Linked DNA regions of Arabidopsis thaliana. The protein of the gene in region 1 purifies or fractionates together with the protein of each later gene. This does not show direct contact. Each region holds a gene or a part of one and is shown on either strand. Other genes may lie near its edges. The genes, in order: SGT1A and GME.

Region 1 (8,505 bases):
TAATTCGCATGTATAATTTGACAGAAATTGAATTGAACATTTACTAGTTACCCGTTTGGAAAATGAAATTGCAAACTTATTAGATGATGTAACGAACTAAATATATAACATATCATCGTAAATATTGTAAATATGTTCACTTTTATAGCTTGATTAATGGTAAAATGAAAATTTGATCTAAAGAAAAGGCAATCTTATCTAGATGTGAAAACGCAAAGTGTCGTTTTTCACGTGTGAGAATACTGATTGACTGGACTAGTACGTAGTAATATGGAGATGCCGTGCGGTTGAAATGTCTGTATAAAAACATTTCAGCACCCATTCCTTACAACGTCGTCAATGTTAGATTTTGCCGTTAGTTTTTATTTTATTTTGTTTTCAGTTGTCATAAACTTATTTCAGTTATCAGTTATTATAACTAATTGTTTTTTGTTCCTCTTTTCCTGCTAAGTGTAAACCTATTGCACAAATTTCTTGCATGCGTGTTCACCGTATATATGTTTTTAATTCCTCTTTCGTTATTGGGTTTTTAATGATGAAATAAAACGGAACTCAACTAGGGACAGTACAGTTCATGATCATATTGGATACATGTATTAGTTCATTTAATTTAATTCAATTATATACACAATAGTTTATTTAATTTCTCTCTAAATGATTGATGATGATTGACGTTATTTTCACGGTTTTGGTACCGTATAAGTTTAGTAAAGTGTCAAAACGACATTGTTTGTGAAACATATGGAGTATTTTTTCAAGAGTTAATTTGCCACTCTATCATATCGTTTCTAAAAATTGAAATCATTTCTAGTTTTAATCCTGGTTTAGCTGTAGTGATACTATTATGCTCCTCATTCTCACAATTTATTTCTACTTTGTTTCTTTACCTTCACAATTTCTGCCAAATGAGATCAATATAGACGTCTTCAACATCAAAGTTTTTGTTTATAAATACAAAATTTAAAATAATAATTTTGGTCAGAGTCGATGGTTATAAGGTGATGGGCGTGATGGCAAAGCATGTGACAAAGTTTTATGTCCACTATTCTCTTTTCGCCTAACGCAAATTCGTGTACGTTACAACTCCCTAATAATAATGCGTTAATTACTCTGCCAAGCTCATTTTCATTTATTACTTTACATGTTTTTTTTGTTTAAAGCATTGTCATATTTATTGTCATTATGAAACCCAAAATGAAAGGAGTTAATTAGAGATCATTGTTTTCATCTAGAGCAGAGCTCTGAAACTGGAACCAATTATTTGGAGTCTTGATGCAAATTCATGTAGCCTTGGAGCTCTGAAATTGTTCTTCTATATGTTTGCTGATCAAATTGTTAAAATAATGGTGAGACTGAGACTCATGGTTTAAATACTAGCAAAAATGGTAAATTTAAAATCCCCCTTAGCCACGGACCTTGAGCAAAGAGTCTAGTGTATGTGTCTATATATGGTTCACCTTTTGGATAAGAAATCAATTTCAAGCTCATCTTTCTACATAGAGAGAAACTTGGATCTTGTACTTTTTAAGATGGAAACATCCATAAAAAGGTAAAGATAAAGCTGATATGGCAAAACGCCAACAAAATCCTACAAGTAAATAAATCTTGGGCCAACTTTAATGTTCCTAAAAGAAATGAACTTAGCTACAAAGTTACTAGTCACGTCTCTGCTGCCAAAATTCTTGACACATTCTTTACACTTCTTCGAACAAAGAGAATGGTTTGATCCACAAAGGATGCAATGCGCACCGCTTCCACAACATTTGATCTGTGGCATAAATCAATCTTGCACCATAAGGGCTTGAAACTTTCAGCTTTTGCCACTAACACTCTAACGCAAACTTGTGTTAGACTGCAACCAAATGAAATATTTGAGAAGCACCAGATCCATTAACAGCAACTATGAGCCCATTACAATGATTTGCCTCCATCAGTGTCTTGGATCGCTAACACTATCCAATAACCAGCCTAGCTGGTACTTAGACAGAATTTTTTTTTCTTCTGGATCTGTGAAAATAAATGTAACATGAGCCATTGACTAAGATCTAGCTCTAATTAACTCAGTCAAAACGACGATCAAAAGATTGAACTATTGGAAATGGAAGGGGCCGCGCGAACGCAGGCCCCCAAGGCAACAAATAATGACGCAGGATCTCCCACTTGGGGTGACCTTTGGCTTAGCGCACCTCAAGTGCAGGAAGCCACCAGCCTAGGCCACGGATCTTCATGATCACCCGTAAACCCCGTCCAGGTAAGTAATTTGCAATCCTCGACCATCTTCTTTATTTATACTATGCTACACACGAGTGCCCATCCTCAAACTTCCGATGAGGGAGCATCAACATTATCTCGTATCTACTATAGGCAGGCTTTCGTTGTTTGATTAGCCCAAGTTTTATTTCTTGATAGGCCGCAATGTCTATATTCCGGTCCAAATCAAACCCAACAGATTTTTTTTTTGTCGGCTATTTGTCACAGATTTCTTTTTATATACGAGGAACAAGGTTAATTATATTGAACTAAACATTAAAAAAAAAAAAGAATTTTACAGATGCAGGTTGATATTTAACGTTATTGTGGGTCAACTCAACTCATAAGCAAAGTTGATATGATACTATTTAAATTGACTTCACCACATCCACTTGACACTAATAAATTGACTTCTCCATCCCTATCCACACATATTTGAATCTTCCAATAAGGTTCCACGAAACTGCTAGGAAAACAATATTTTCTAAGGCAATAGTCCCACTTTGGTTAATCATAAAATTGTCAAATCCACTATGTAATTTGTGATCCATAATAAATTAAACCAGTTATTCATCATCTAAGTCAGACACTATTTTAACTCTAGAAAACTTGACAAAGTACATGAAATGTTTTTGAAGTGAAGTAACAAAATTCCAACATGTACAAAATATATATTTTTTTTTTTAAACGAAAATATATACACTAGAGACCTCACCTATTTTTCTTAATAATATCAAATCTCACATATTTGATGTACACACAAAATTAAATTTATAGAAAATGAAATATATTATTTTAGAAAAATAAGGAGAAACTTTGTGGAAAAAATAGAAAAATATTTAAATTATTGTTTTTATAAATTTTATTTTGGGTTCGAACTCTTCAACTCCCTGAACACAAGTCGCATAAAACGAAGGAACAATCTAGAAGAAGAACGATAACATCCAATCTCTCTTTATATTCCTTCCTTCCATTGTGGCAATAAGTAACAAACCTTGCCCTCTACTTCATTCCCTCCTTGTTTTGATTTCATCGTCTTTGTTAGCTCTCCTCTGTTTTTTTTTCTTAGTCAATCGATGGCGAAGGAGCTTGCTGATAAGGCTAAAGAGGCTTTCGTAGACGATGACTTCGATGTTGCTGTTGACTTGTACTCCAAAGCCATTGACTTGGATCCTAATTGCGCTGAGTTCTTCGCTGATCGTGCTCAGGCCTATATCAAACTCGAAAGCTTCACTGGTAGCTTCTTTGTTCTGTTATCTTCGTCTTTTACTGTCGTGGACGCCTTCTGGGGTTCTGGGTTTTTGTATGTTTTCGGTTTCTTACTTCATCATAGCTGAAAGTTGTTGACTTTGCTGGATTATGTGTATTTAGGGTTTCGTTTTGTGTCCTGTCGCTTGATAGTGTCACAATTCTTTTCGAAAGTTTAAAGCTTTCGTATCAATTTGATACTAATGTGTCTCTCTTTTGCTGTTTGTGGAGGAACAATGTATCGGAATTGCTTTCATGAGAAACGAAATTTAGTTATTTGTTATCAGTAGCGAGTGCCCTTTACAAGTTATGCATTCAAACATTGGTTTAAGTTGGTTTTAGCTGTGCTAGTCTTTTGATTCTTTGATTGTGAATATGGAGAATTTTGTTTACAGATAGTGTTAAGTATTAACGGAGTATTGAAAGTTTCAATTTTTGCTTGAGTGATTAGTCTTTAGTTCAACTATTTCTTGCTTTAAGAAAGTATTCTCTGCATTTTTAGCGTAGTATCATAGAACTTTACTAGTTGGATAAGATTTTGGTCTCATTTGATTCTCAATGAGCAGAGGCCGTGGCAGATGCGAACAAAGCAATTGAGTTGGATCCTTCATTGACCAAAGCTTACCTAAGAAAAGGGTAACGTTTTGCTATTTCCTCCTATGTAACATTTTTAAGTCGTATATAAGTTGTAGTGAGAGTTTAATTTTCTCTGATTCCTTAGTCCTTAGATTGTTTTACTACCAGTTTATATGGTCTGCAAATGTGGTATATATCTGTCAAGCTATTACTTCCATTGTTCATGGTTTGGTTTTTGTATTTGTAGAACTGCCTGTATGAAGCTTGAAGAGTATCGGACTGCTAAAACAGCTCTTGAAAAGGGTGCCTCTATCACGCCGAGTGAATCCAAATTTAAGAAGTTGATAGATGAATGCAATTTTCTAATCACAGGTATGTTTTTTGTGTTTTTTTCTTGTTTTCTGGTTGATTATGTTTACATGCCTAGAGTGATTGTATTGTTTGCCATGGTGCAAAATATTTTGTTATGTAATTCACCTAAGGTTTTGATCTATGGAACTTGTAAATATCCTTTTTCCAGAAGAAGAGAAAGATTTGGTTCAACCGGTGCCTTCGACTTTGCCTTCAAGTGTGACAGCACCACCAGTATCTGAACTTGATGTCACCCCTACAGCCAAGTACAGGTAGTTTTATTGTAGAAAACAATACCAAAGTTTTTAAGAATCATTAAATATCTGATATTCTTGAGTGTTAACAGGCACGAGTACTACCAAAAGCCAGAGGAAGTTGTGGTAACTGTTTTTGCAAAAGGAATACCCAAGCAGAATGTTAACATCGACTTTGGTGAACAAATTGTGAGTATAAGGCTCTTAAGAACCCAACTCAATGGCACTTCTGTGTGCTTGTGTGTTAATGGTATTGTTTTGTGTTTTGAAGCTGAGTGTTGTGATTGAGGTTCCTGGAGAGGATGCGTATTATCTCCAACCGAGATTGTTTGGAAAGGTAATTTATCTGTTGAATGAATTAATGTTGGTTTTTCTTTCAACACTCTGAGCTGAACATGTTACATGACTTTGTTTTACGGTGTATATTCAGATAATACCAGATAAGTGCAAATATGAAGTATTGTCGACCAAAATTGAGATCTGTCTTGCAAAAGCCGATATAATCACATGGGCCTCCCTCGAACACGGCAAAGGGCCAGCGGTTTTGCCAAAGCCTAATGTCTCATCAGGTTTTCTACCTTTTCCTTCTTCAGTGTCATCTGATGAGCTTAAACAACAGTCTCTTGTAATGTAAATCTTATGTTGTATGTATGATGATGCAGAGGTTTCACAGAGGCCAGCTTATCCATCTTCTAAGAAAGTTAAGGACTGGGACAAGCTGGAAGCTGAAGTGAAGAAGCAGGTCCGTCTCTTACCATGTACTTAAAACCTCGACCAAACGGTTTTGTTTTTTCTCTTCTTTTGTTTGATTGTGGTTGACTTGCAGGAAAAAGATGAGAAGCTGGAAGGAGACGCAGCTTTGAACAAATTCTTCCGGGAGATATACCAGAATGCGGATGAGGATATGAGGCGAGCGATGAGCAAATCATTTGTGAGTATCTCTTTTCATGGAGTACTGTAAAAGTTTTGTCCTTTTGATCGACTCATTTATGGTTTTCGGGTTTTGAACAATGAGCAGGTGGAATCGAATGGGACAGTGCTGTCAACAAACTGGCAAGAGGTTGGGACTAAGACAATCGAGAGTACTCCTCCGGATGGCATGGAGCTCAAGAAATGGGAGATCTGATCTGATATGATATGATGATCCTTTCCTTTTTATGCAGTTGTGAATTTTGCCTAAATGTAGACAAATCTTGAAACCTGGTCCCTTTCTTCCTGTAATGAGGATCCTAAGGTTTTTGCTTTTTTGTTAAATATGGCTTTCTACCTCTGCTATGTTGTGACTTGTGAGTTATATTGTCTTTAGGTCTCAACTTTTTTGTTTTTGTTTTTATTTGAGTATTCATAATTTCATCATGATCACTATTCTTTAGTTTTTGTTAAAACTTACTTAATTAGTCTACAAAACCAAATATATCCCAAGTATGGAGTTAAAAGTCAAAGAATTGAGTTAACCTCTCGATCGAGTTGTAAATTGTCACTTTAGAGTCGTCTCGATCGAGTTGTAAATTGTCACTTTAGAGTCGTTTTAAACTTAAGTATGGAGAAAGTGATTTTTTATTAAAGAGTTATACAATATTTGTAATTATGAAAGGAACTACGTTACCGACTTGGTGTTGTCCAATGGTATATTTTCTAGGTAGAGATGTTGGATTCGACATCTTTAGAGATATGTTTTCTTTAAAAGAAATGAATTTAACTTGTTGTAGATCCTGCTTCTCGAACATATAGAGCCTTCGAACTTAAACTTCCATATATTCCAAAGAAATAAAAAACCCACGTTATTTGTGTAAAATTTTTACATCTCACAACCTTTATTTTCCGATAAAATTGTGATTTTTTAATATATATTGACATGGAATATTCTTTTGATTATGCAGGTGATCAGAGCATCGAGTCAATAATCCTTAATGTTCAATAATCCAATCAGCCGCACGTAATAGGAGAAGAAATCTATTTGTTTTTAAGGCCGCCTATGATCTATATATATGAACTACCCACACCTGTTTTAACTAACAAAATCTAAAGTTTTCTCAACTAGCCAAAAAAAACCCTAAAAGGCTCTGATCCAATTTCATCCGTCAAAAATCTTATAATAAATGAACTATCTTAGGTTGACCAACGTATCTTCTTTGATCACCTTGATAAGAGAAAGATTTGGTTCAATCGGTGCCTTCGGCTTTGCCTTCAAGTTCGACAGCACCACCAGTATCTGTTGATGTCACCCCTGCGACTGCAGCACCAGCTAAAGCCAAGTACATGTATTGTAGAAAACAATGCTAAGTTTTTAAGAATCATTAAATATATATCTCATATTCTTGAGTGTTAAACAGACACGAGTACTACCAAAAAGACAGAGGAAGTTGTGGTAACTGTTTTTGCAAATTCAGATTGTATAGTGAGATTAAGTAGCGAGGTTTTTTTGAAGTAAACGCCATTTGTTATCTCTCATGTGTATTTTTCCTTGTTTGATCTCTAATGTAACAAAGTTAATAATGAAAGCCAAAAAAACAAAGCCAATTTGGCTTCTTGAAAGATTTGGGTGAAGATTTCATTAGAATGTTACACCCACACTTAAATGAAAAACTTAACACTAAATATTGGAAGACATACTATGATGATACATATCCATATCAAGACTTTTTCAAAGTCTTTACATCGGTAAAACATGTAAATAGTGGAAAAAATTGAGGCAGTTAACATTTTTAGTTGAATGATGAATGATTTATCAAAGTGAGCCAGCTTTGCAACAAGAACTTGATAGTTACATGTTGCCAAATAAAATTGCAAAAAAAGAAGAAAAAAAAATCTAAGACAAACAGTTCGACAAGACTATCAAAAAGAAAATGATAAATATTGCATGGGTGGTTGACAAAATTCACCAAACCGTAGCAGTAAGAGCATGCACTAAACCCACATAACCGTTTGGCGTTTTGGATATAAACACATTGTCAAACCACTCAAGCGTTCCCCAAATTTCCCCATTTTGGTGTTTTTCAATCGCAATTTCCGCACACCAAATCTTTTTTTCCCTATCAACAAACATATACTCCTCCCAAGAAATCGCCATTTTTCCACCATGATCCGCCAATTTAACATTTGAATGAGAAGTAGGCAAACTAGGCAATCTTCCCAAGCCCTTCAAAATTGTCCATGCTCTATTCTTGAGGTCATACCAACGTATCTCCCCCTCACAGTAACGGTAGAACACGTTCTCTACCACACAATAAGATGATGATGACGACAGACTCCATCCATTATTCATACATATGTCTGCCTCTCTCCATTTACCTTTATGCATCTTGTAAGTCACATCTTTTTCATCAGACTTCACATAGACGGTTCCTTGATAACTTACGCTTAAGTACTCAGAGCCTTTGCATATCTCCTCGCTAGGGATCTGTAGAAACTCCCAAGTTTGAGTCTTCGTATCAAAAATCTCCATCCAGTTCATTGTATCGAGATTGTCGCAGCCTCCCGTAACATATATTCTCCCATCAAGAGTACAAGCAGATGGAAACACACGGCCCACCCGCATGCTTGGAGCTTCATGCCATGTGTGAGAACGAGAGTTCATAATCATAACGCTAGACAAAGCGTTATAAGTCTTTGATCCAGTGGCATATATCGAAACGTTTTTATTCTTTGATCCACCGCCAATGGCATATACATCAGGACCAACCACTACAACACCCGGCAGGGATGGGGAGGTAAAACTGGGAGATGAAATCGGAACCAAAACGTTTTTGGAGCTATGTGGTCTGTGGCACAGAATGAACCAATGTAGTAGTTCAGAATCGGTACGGAGTCGTAAGCACGCGTAAAG
Region 2 (8,313 bases), on another chromosome or scaffold:
TTTTGGCGGGAATTTTTTTTTATTTTTGGTGGGAAAAAAGTTTGGCGGAAACTTTTTTTTTGGCCGGAAAAACAAATTTTGGCGCCAAAAAATTGGCGGGAAAAGTTCAGTTTCCAATTACATGTTTCTATTAGATGATGGTAATTTGGTCATTTTATTCAAAGGAAAGGGTATTTTTAAAAATGGACAACATAAAAGGGTATTGTTGCAAAAGGGTAGTAAAAAAATAGTAGTTTTGCAAATCTCCCTAGTTTAAAACTAGGTAAATGAATTTTTGCATGAGTAATTTAGTAAATTAACAACTACTAAAATATAGAAATATCTTTAAAAATGCAAATATATTGTATGTTTAATTGAAAAATGCATATATGTAAACTAAATTATTTTCGTAAGATATTATTAGATATTTTCGAATATGGCAATCTAATAACAAATTATCATTTCGTTTAGATTTTAAAATCTTCCTTAACAAAACTATGCTAATTAAATCTCATTTGTATACATGACAAAAAAGATTTTTCAATTATGATTTTTCAGATATGAAAAAACATTTATTATATTTGTCGTATATAATCTAAACGAAATACTTCTATCATTTAAAATACAGCTTATTCAAAAACTTATTTTTTGGATTCTAAATATCTAGAAAATATTTCCAGGGTATATTAAAATATTTTAACATTTAATTAGAGTTTCAATGATATAAAGTTTTAGAATATATTTTTTTGTTTTTAAAAACGGGTAGTTTCATTATTTTAAATATATAATTAACCCAAATTTTTAATATATTTTTTAAAAAGAATTATAATAATTAATATATCTGATTGTTTTATTTAGAGCCAGATAAATTATTCAATTTCAAATCAAATAAATTATTTTATTTTGTATCAAATTGTTACAAGATTTTGGAATACACATTCTTCTAGAATTGATTATTTTCTTTTTGAAATAACATTAAAATAAATTTAAATACCAATGTTGTAATTTTAATGCAAATTTAAGGAACTATTGAATTTAGATCAAGATGACTAATTTAACTAATTACAAGCTATTTTTAAATTTACACAGTTTTTGCAATTAGTTCAAACTAATTCTCTAAATTTATTCACATTAAACTATCTCTTAGTTTTATGATATTGTTAAGATTTGTTTCTTGAAGTTAAGAAAGTTTATCAAATAAATTCAAATATATATATTTGATTAATTATATATTATATCAACAAGAGGATTTCTGGATTTGAGATAATATATCAAGTCGGTGTTTATTTATTTATATTAAATAGTAAATATAATTTTGTTTTCATATATGTGCACGTACACAAGAACAAATGTATGAGTATGACATATTATAGTTGATAGATCATTTATTTTTTCAATTTGTTTTCATGTTTTAATTTATGGTATGTTTACAAATTTTAACAAAGCATATGTTAATCCCCAAAAGTTACAGCTGTATCTGGTATTGTGTTTAAAGATAAGTAAAAATGAACTCGGAACATGATATTTAATGTAATATAACGAGAATAGGAATGACGAAAAAGGAACGACATAGAAGGAGCCAACACGGGATAAAAACATAGCTTTTAGATTACAACAAGTTACAATTTAAGCAAATTAACGTTTGCAATCAAATATGTAACATGTGTTTTCAATTTATACAGCATAAAAATGCTCAAAATAATAAATGTTATTATAGTATGCTTTATAATAGTTAAAATTTAAAAATAAACAAATGTAATTTAATATTTATGAACAAAATATTAAACAATAAGAAGAAAGAAGTCAATTAATTTTGTAATATTTTTATTATATCATATCATATAAAAATATACATGAATTATATTTGTGTTTGTCCCAAACAGGATATAGAGAATTTTTGCTTCCATCACGTTCTGTTTCTAATCGGAATACAAATTTTTTCTCATATTAGAAATGCATTCTCTTATGAGAAATAAATTGGAGAACGAGTAAGATATAATGGAACATGATAAAATTGAATGAGAATTACGCCTATCTCTAAATATTTATATTTCTCGCAAACGTATTTAATCATTTTAATGGTTTTATATACGGTTTGATAGTTTACAAGTTTAATAAAAATCTACCTGACCATTAACTCGAATCAGTTTGATCTCGGTTCGACCGTTTGATTGTTATGAACTTTAAAATACTACTAAAATCATTATTATTTCAAATATTTCAACCAACTAATATAGTTTAGGTTATATATATACTATAACTATATAAATAATTTTTAACATCAATCTAACTTATATTATATTTTAATTTAAGATTTTTTTTTCTAATTTACTCTTCAGTTTCAAACTCCAAAAATGGACTTATGGTTGCTCTTATGTCATAAACAAACATAAATAATATTTTATATTTTTATGTGTACATTATAATTATTCAATACAGTATATATCACTAAAATAACAAAATAATTATATATTTAATAAAAATTTATTACAACACATTTCTTAATATATGAAGATGTACTATTATTTGCAAATACAAAATATGTTAAATAGTGTTTTAGTTAATTAGAAAATAACAAAAATTAAAGTAATTTTTCTCAAAATAATAATTATTTAAAGATTAATTGCTTAATTATTTGAATTTTATAAGAATTTCCTTTTAATGTGTATTATATATATGTATGAATAAGACTAATTGAAAAATCTGTAATAATCTAGTAAAATTTGGACAATTATTTAAATGGATTAGAATCACAACATGACGGTTTCGTTAATAACACGCCAATATAAATATTTTATTAAAAAAACTTCTCAATTAATATATAGAATATACATATATTTATTATTTACAAATATTTTTATATATTGAAGCTAGAAAATAAAAAAATTATGAAATTGTTTGGTGCACCAATAAAGAAAATATTTAGTTTTTTTTTTTTTCTAAACTAAAACATTTCTTATTATCTATCTAAATACGATTCAACAAATAGTAAAAATAATATGCATAATATAAATCATCAAACCTAATAAAAAGTAATAAATCTTCTATAAAATCTCCTATTTTCTAAAAAACTCTCTACAAAAGAAGTATTAATTTTTTTTTTCGAAGGATTTTATTAGTTATAAAATAAATTTAACAGAAAGAGGCACAAATACCAATAGGAGTTGGAAAACTAAAACAACGAGTGGTGTTGCTCTCTCCATCTTCCTCTTCATCTTCTTCTGTTCTCTCTCTATAAATACAAGTTTACTCTTCCTCTTCCTCAAATCTCTGACTCTTCTCTGCATTATCTCTTCGATCTCTCCAACTCTCCAAAACCTTCCTCAGGTAAAAGATCCAATCTTCCTTACAATTCCACTAATCTAGGGTTTTAAAATCCCAGATTCCTGAATCAAAACTTCTCTGAGATCCGAATTTCGCAATTCTGTGTTTTTGGCTAATTTACGCCTCGCAATTTTGTGTTTTTCGCTAACTTACGCCGAATCCAATGCATCCTCTGTCAAAACTCTCTAAATCCCAAATCTTTTTACAGAAATTTATCACAAATTAGGATTCCACAGTGATTTCTAGCTTTCGCATGAGAGATCTTATTGTGTTTAACATATTTCTTTGCAATTTTGTGTGTTTTTGGCTAACTTAAGCGTCGCAATTTTGTGTGTTTTCACTAACTTACACCGAATCCAATGCATTCTCTGTCAAAACTCTCTAAATCCCAAATCTTTTTACAGAAATTAATCACAAATTAGGATTCTACAGTGATTTCTAGCTTTTGCATGAGAGATCTTATTGTGTTTAACAGATTTGTTTTGCAATTTTGTGTGTTTTTGGCTAACTTACGCCTCGCAGTTTTGTGTTTTTCGCTAACTTACGCCGGAATCCAATGCATCAATAATCTTACCTCTGTCAAAACTCTCTAAATCCCAAATCTTTTTTATAGAAATTTATCACAAATTAGGACTCTACAGTGATGTCTAGCTTTTGCATGAGAGATCTTATTGTTTTTAACAGATTTGTTTTGTTAATGTAGAATGGGAACTACCAATGGAACAGACTATGGAGCATACACATACAAGGAGCTAGAAAGAGAGCAATATTGGCCATCTGAGAATCTCAAGATATCAATAACAGGAGCTGGAGGTTTCATTGCATCTCACATTGCTCGTCGTTTGAAGCACGAAGGTCATTACGTGATTGCTTCTGACTGGAAAAAGAATGAACACATGACTGAAGACATGTTCTGTGATGAGTTCCATCTTGTTGATCTTAGGGTTATGGAGAATTGTCTCAAAGTTACTGAAGGAGTTGATCATGTTTTTAACTTAGCTGCTGATATGGGTGGTATGGGTTTTATCCAGAGTAATCACTCTGTGATTATGTATAATAATACTATGATTAGTTTCAATATGATTGAGGCTGCTAGGATCAATGGGATTAAGAGGTTAGTTAGATTTTGTTTTCTTCGGTTTTCGCAGTTTACGGTTTCTTAAAACAAGTTAAAAAGATTGGATTTTTTGTTTGCTTTAGGTTCTTTTATGCTTCGAGTGCTTGTATCTATCCAGAGTTTAAGCAGTTGGAGACTACTAATGTGAGCTTGAAGGAGTCAGATGCTTGGCCTGCAGAGGTTTGTGATTATTTTTTATATGTTCTTGCTAAAGATTTATGAGTCTTTTCTTATGTGATGTTTTGATGCTGATATAGCCTCAAGATGCTTATGGTTTGGAGAAGCTTGCTACGGAGGAGTTGTGTAAGCATTACAACAAAGATTTTGGTATTGAGTGTCGAATTGGAAGGTTCCATAACATTTATGGTCCTTTTGGAACATGGAAAGGTAGTATACAGATAAACAGTTTCCGTACTTTGTGTGAATGATTAGTTGTTTACTATTGGGATTAATATTTGCTTGGATCAACTTAGGTGGAAGGGAGAAGGCTCCAGCTGCTTTCTGTAGGAAGGCTCAGACTTCCACTGATAGGTTTGAGATGTGGGGAGATGGGCTTCAGACCCGTTCTTTTACCTTTATCGATGAGTGTGTTGAAGGTGTACTCAGGTGAGGGTATCTCCTGATGTTGATGAAGTTGTATGTTAGACGTAATTGGCTGATATTTTCGTCATTTTTGTTTTATAGGTTGACAAAATCAGATTTCCGTGAGCCGGTGAACATCGGAAGCGATGAGATGGTGAGCATGAATGAGATGGCTGAGATGGTTCTCAGCTTTGAGGAAAAGAAGCTTCCAATTCACCACATTCCTGGCCCGGAAGGTGTTCGTGGTCGTAACTCAGACAACAATCTGATCAAAGAAAAGCTTGGTTGGGCTCCTAATATGAGATTGAAGGTACCAACATTATTTACTTAAGTAGCTCAAAGACAAGATAATAATCTAATTCTTTTATTACTGATATTGTTTTGACCATAATCGTTAAACAGGAGGGGCTTAGAATAACCTACTTCTGGATAAAGGAACAGATCGAGAAAGAGAAAGCAAAGGGAAGCGATGTGTCGCTTTACGGGTCATCAAAGGTGGTTGGAACTCAAGCACCGGTTCAGCTAGGCTCACTCCGCGCGGCTGATGGAAAAGAGTGAAGTTCACCAAAGTATAAGTCAAGCTCAAATATGGCCTTTTAAGTTCAGCAAAATGTTTAGATATATTTTTAGGTAGCTTCCTATTAAAAAAGCAATAATAAGTGTTTTGGATTTTGGTTCCTTCTATTCTGCTAATCCTTGTTTATGTTTAGTTGAAAAAGTTTGCTTGCATTGTTAAGTCTGTTATCATATTATTGTGGTCCTTTCATTCACAGTATGTATGTTTATCATCATAGTCAAGTTGATGTCGTGGTCCTCTCACGGACCAGTACAAGTAAGTGGCTTGTGTTTTTTCTTGCATCTTATCATCTATTCACACATCTCTAGAGGTTAGGGATCACTCACGGTGACTCACCATTCTTTCTCTTCCATCCACTTCTTTATCCCATTCCTCGGTCAAAAATGTCACACGTAATAAATCATAAGGTTTTAAGTTTATATATTGCTTTTTTTATGCAACTCTCCCGATCAGCAAAATATCTAAAATTTGAGATTTTTATCCATGTTCTAAGATTTGGTCTTAGACTCGAGATGATCCGAAAAATAACGTATTTACTATTTTAAATTTTGAATATACATTTTATCAAAAAACAAATATGAGATAAGGACGATATTATTATAACATAACATATAATGTTTTTTTATTATTTTAAATAATATCAAAGGAAATAAAGCTTAAACTTAATCCAAAACTAAGAAAAAAACCACTAAATCAAAAGGAAAAGCATAGTAAAATCTCAAAACAATTAAGCAACTTTCGGCTCAATTGTTAGCTTCTTTGAATATATATGTTATCAGTGTTTTTTCAAAAATCTTTGACGTTAGCATCATACTACAAATATTCATTTATGCATCTAAAATAAGACAATCGATATATTTCAAATCATCAACTCAACAATCACCCAATTTTTTGTTGTGGTTTTGCTCTTGCTCTCACTCTTCTTCGTGTCGCTTCTCAAATGAGCCCAAATCACCTTTTATATCATATGCAAAAGCAAATGAAGCATTTAACTCAACCCAAATTTAACTTGGGTTAACTAAAATTTGATCATCAAGTTCATCTTCACACTTCCCTAAAAGCCTAAACTATATTGATCATCAAGTTCATCATCTTTGTCCGATTTCTCCAGATTTTTAGAGATGAATTAGTTTCCACCAACACCTCACTTTACTCTCCTTTATTGGGCTAAGTTAGATTATATGGGCTTTGTGAGTTTGTATATTAACATGTATAGTCGGTTAGGTTTATCTCGACAATCTCCTCTCTATATATACTTTGTACACATGTTTATGATCAATAAGAAGAATATATTCTCTAAATCTACATCCTTCCACAACACTCTCAGACATCTCTCTTTTGGACAAGATTTTGCGACATTGACGATAACCATATTTCTTTCCTCATAGGTTAGCCCACACTTGCCCGAGCACTTATTGTGCATCCACTACCTAATCAGTTTATGTTGAATCACACCAACGGACCTAACTTTCTCATTTTGGCAAGCCGCACAAACAATGGAAAACATATATTAAATTAATCTCTCAATATTCTTTAAAACAAAAAAAAATGAATTCAACAACCCACCAAAAATGAAAGGAAATAATATCTCTAAGTCATTTGTCTTTTATTCTTTCACAGCCTAATTTCTCTTCTAATATCCTGAAAACATTAATTTGTTGAAAGAAGAAGATTTAATTCAATATGTTTTACCTAAAATTTTGAACTAACTAAAACACATGATTTTTTCTACAGCAATTGGCAGAATTAATGAGAAACGCTTTGTGGCGCTATCAAATAGGCCAGATTAGGGATCAATTTAAACATCTTATGTTTTGGGGCTTTGTTGCTACTGACATTGCAAGTTGGATGAGATTTCTTGGTGGGTTGGAGGATCTCTATTGTCCTTTTTCCATTTGGGATATTTATAGGTAAAGCAGAGCATCCACATGTCTGCTTTGCCTCCAACACTATCGCCGCATTACGATTCATCCAAAATTATGAGATCCATAGAAAGCATTCAAATAAATATGTCTCATTTTTGTGCCAAGAACAATTTCCATCAATCTTTGGTCTTCCTCGAGTTGATGTAGGTGTAAGGGATGTTTTAAGTTTTTGTACCCTAGAGGAGGCATTGGGTCATATTCATGTCTACTCAATAGTTGCTGATTACATCGTTTTCCAGTGTTTTAGTTACCTAAAAAAATGAACAACTCTGAAACTATACACCTATGAATCCACAACCAGTTAGCATGTACTTTCATTTGCTAAAGCAAACAAATCATGTTGATTCGACTTCACAATATTTTTGGTTCTATCCATACATTTCACCTGTATCTAATAACAAAACAATATTTTTTAACTTGAATATCAACATAATATTTTCAAAGAAATTTTTTTCATTTTAGGAAAAAAATATTTACAATATTATTTTATTTTATCCATTTCCTTATAGAATTATAACTTACCGTATGTTGTTTTAGTTTTTTTAACACGTGTCAAAATCCAATCGATATACTTTACAAGTATCACGATCGTATGAGTTACTAAAATTTAAAACCAAACTTTTAATAATAAAATATATAATATTAACTAAATTATTACCTAGTGAAGATATATTATTTTAATTAGTTTAACCTAATTTTTATAGAACTTGGTTATATACGAATATCTTGAAATTCCATAATATCTCATCCTTGCCAACCATGTAAAAAGGATATTTTGGACCCCAACAATTTGCAAAGTGCATTTTAGT

Evidence for each region.
Region 2: the proteins of SGT1A (region 1) and GME fractionate together in Arabidopsis thaliana (co-fractionation; one large-scale study listed by BioGRID). This does not show direct contact.

Annotation. Positions count from the first base shown.
Region 1 is NC_003075.7:12,296,689-12,305,193, forward strand, and holds SGT1A (phosphatase-like protein), read left to right. Parts: upstream 1-3,189; 5' UTR 3,190-3,326; coding exon 3,327-3,486; intron 3,487-4,061; coding exon 4,062-4,134; intron 4,135-4,321; coding exon 4,322-4,446; intron 4,447-4,594; coding exon 4,595-4,697; intron 4,698-4,771; coding exon 4,772-4,868; intron 4,869-4,950; coding exon 4,951-5,016; intron 5,017-5,109; coding exon 5,110-5,248; intron 5,249-5,341; coding exon 5,342-5,421; intron 5,422-5,505; coding exon 5,506-5,610; intron 5,611-5,697; coding exon 5,698-5,805; 3' UTR 5,806-6,031; downstream 6,032-8,505. Other genes in the region: AT4G23580 (Galactose oxidase/kelch repeat superfamily protein), read right to left, coding at 7,558-8,505. UniProt on the Arabidopsis thaliana protein: Functions in R gene-mediated resistance, but participates in a lower extent than SGT1B to RPP5-mediated resistance. Not required for RPM1, RPS2, RPS4 and RPS5-mediated resistance.
Region 2 is NC_003076.8:10,859,719-10,868,031, reverse strand, and holds GME (GDP-D-mannose 3',5'-epimerase), read left to right. Parts: upstream 1-3,085; 5' UTR 3,086-3,306; intron 3,307-3,987; exon of another isoform or gene 3,988-4,006; 5' UTR 4,007-4,007; coding exon 4,008-4,417; intron 4,418-4,503; coding exon 4,504-4,600; intron 4,601-4,677; coding exon 4,678-4,807; intron 4,808-4,893; coding exon 4,894-5,026; intron 5,027-5,104; coding exon 5,105-5,312; intron 5,313-5,404; coding exon 5,405-5,560; 3' UTR 5,561-6,016; downstream 6,017-8,313. UniProt on the Arabidopsis thaliana protein: Catalyzes a reversible epimerization of GDP-D-mannose that precedes the committed step in the biosynthesis of vitamin C (L-ascorbate), resulting in the hydrolysis of the highly energetic glycosyl-pyrophosphoryl linkage.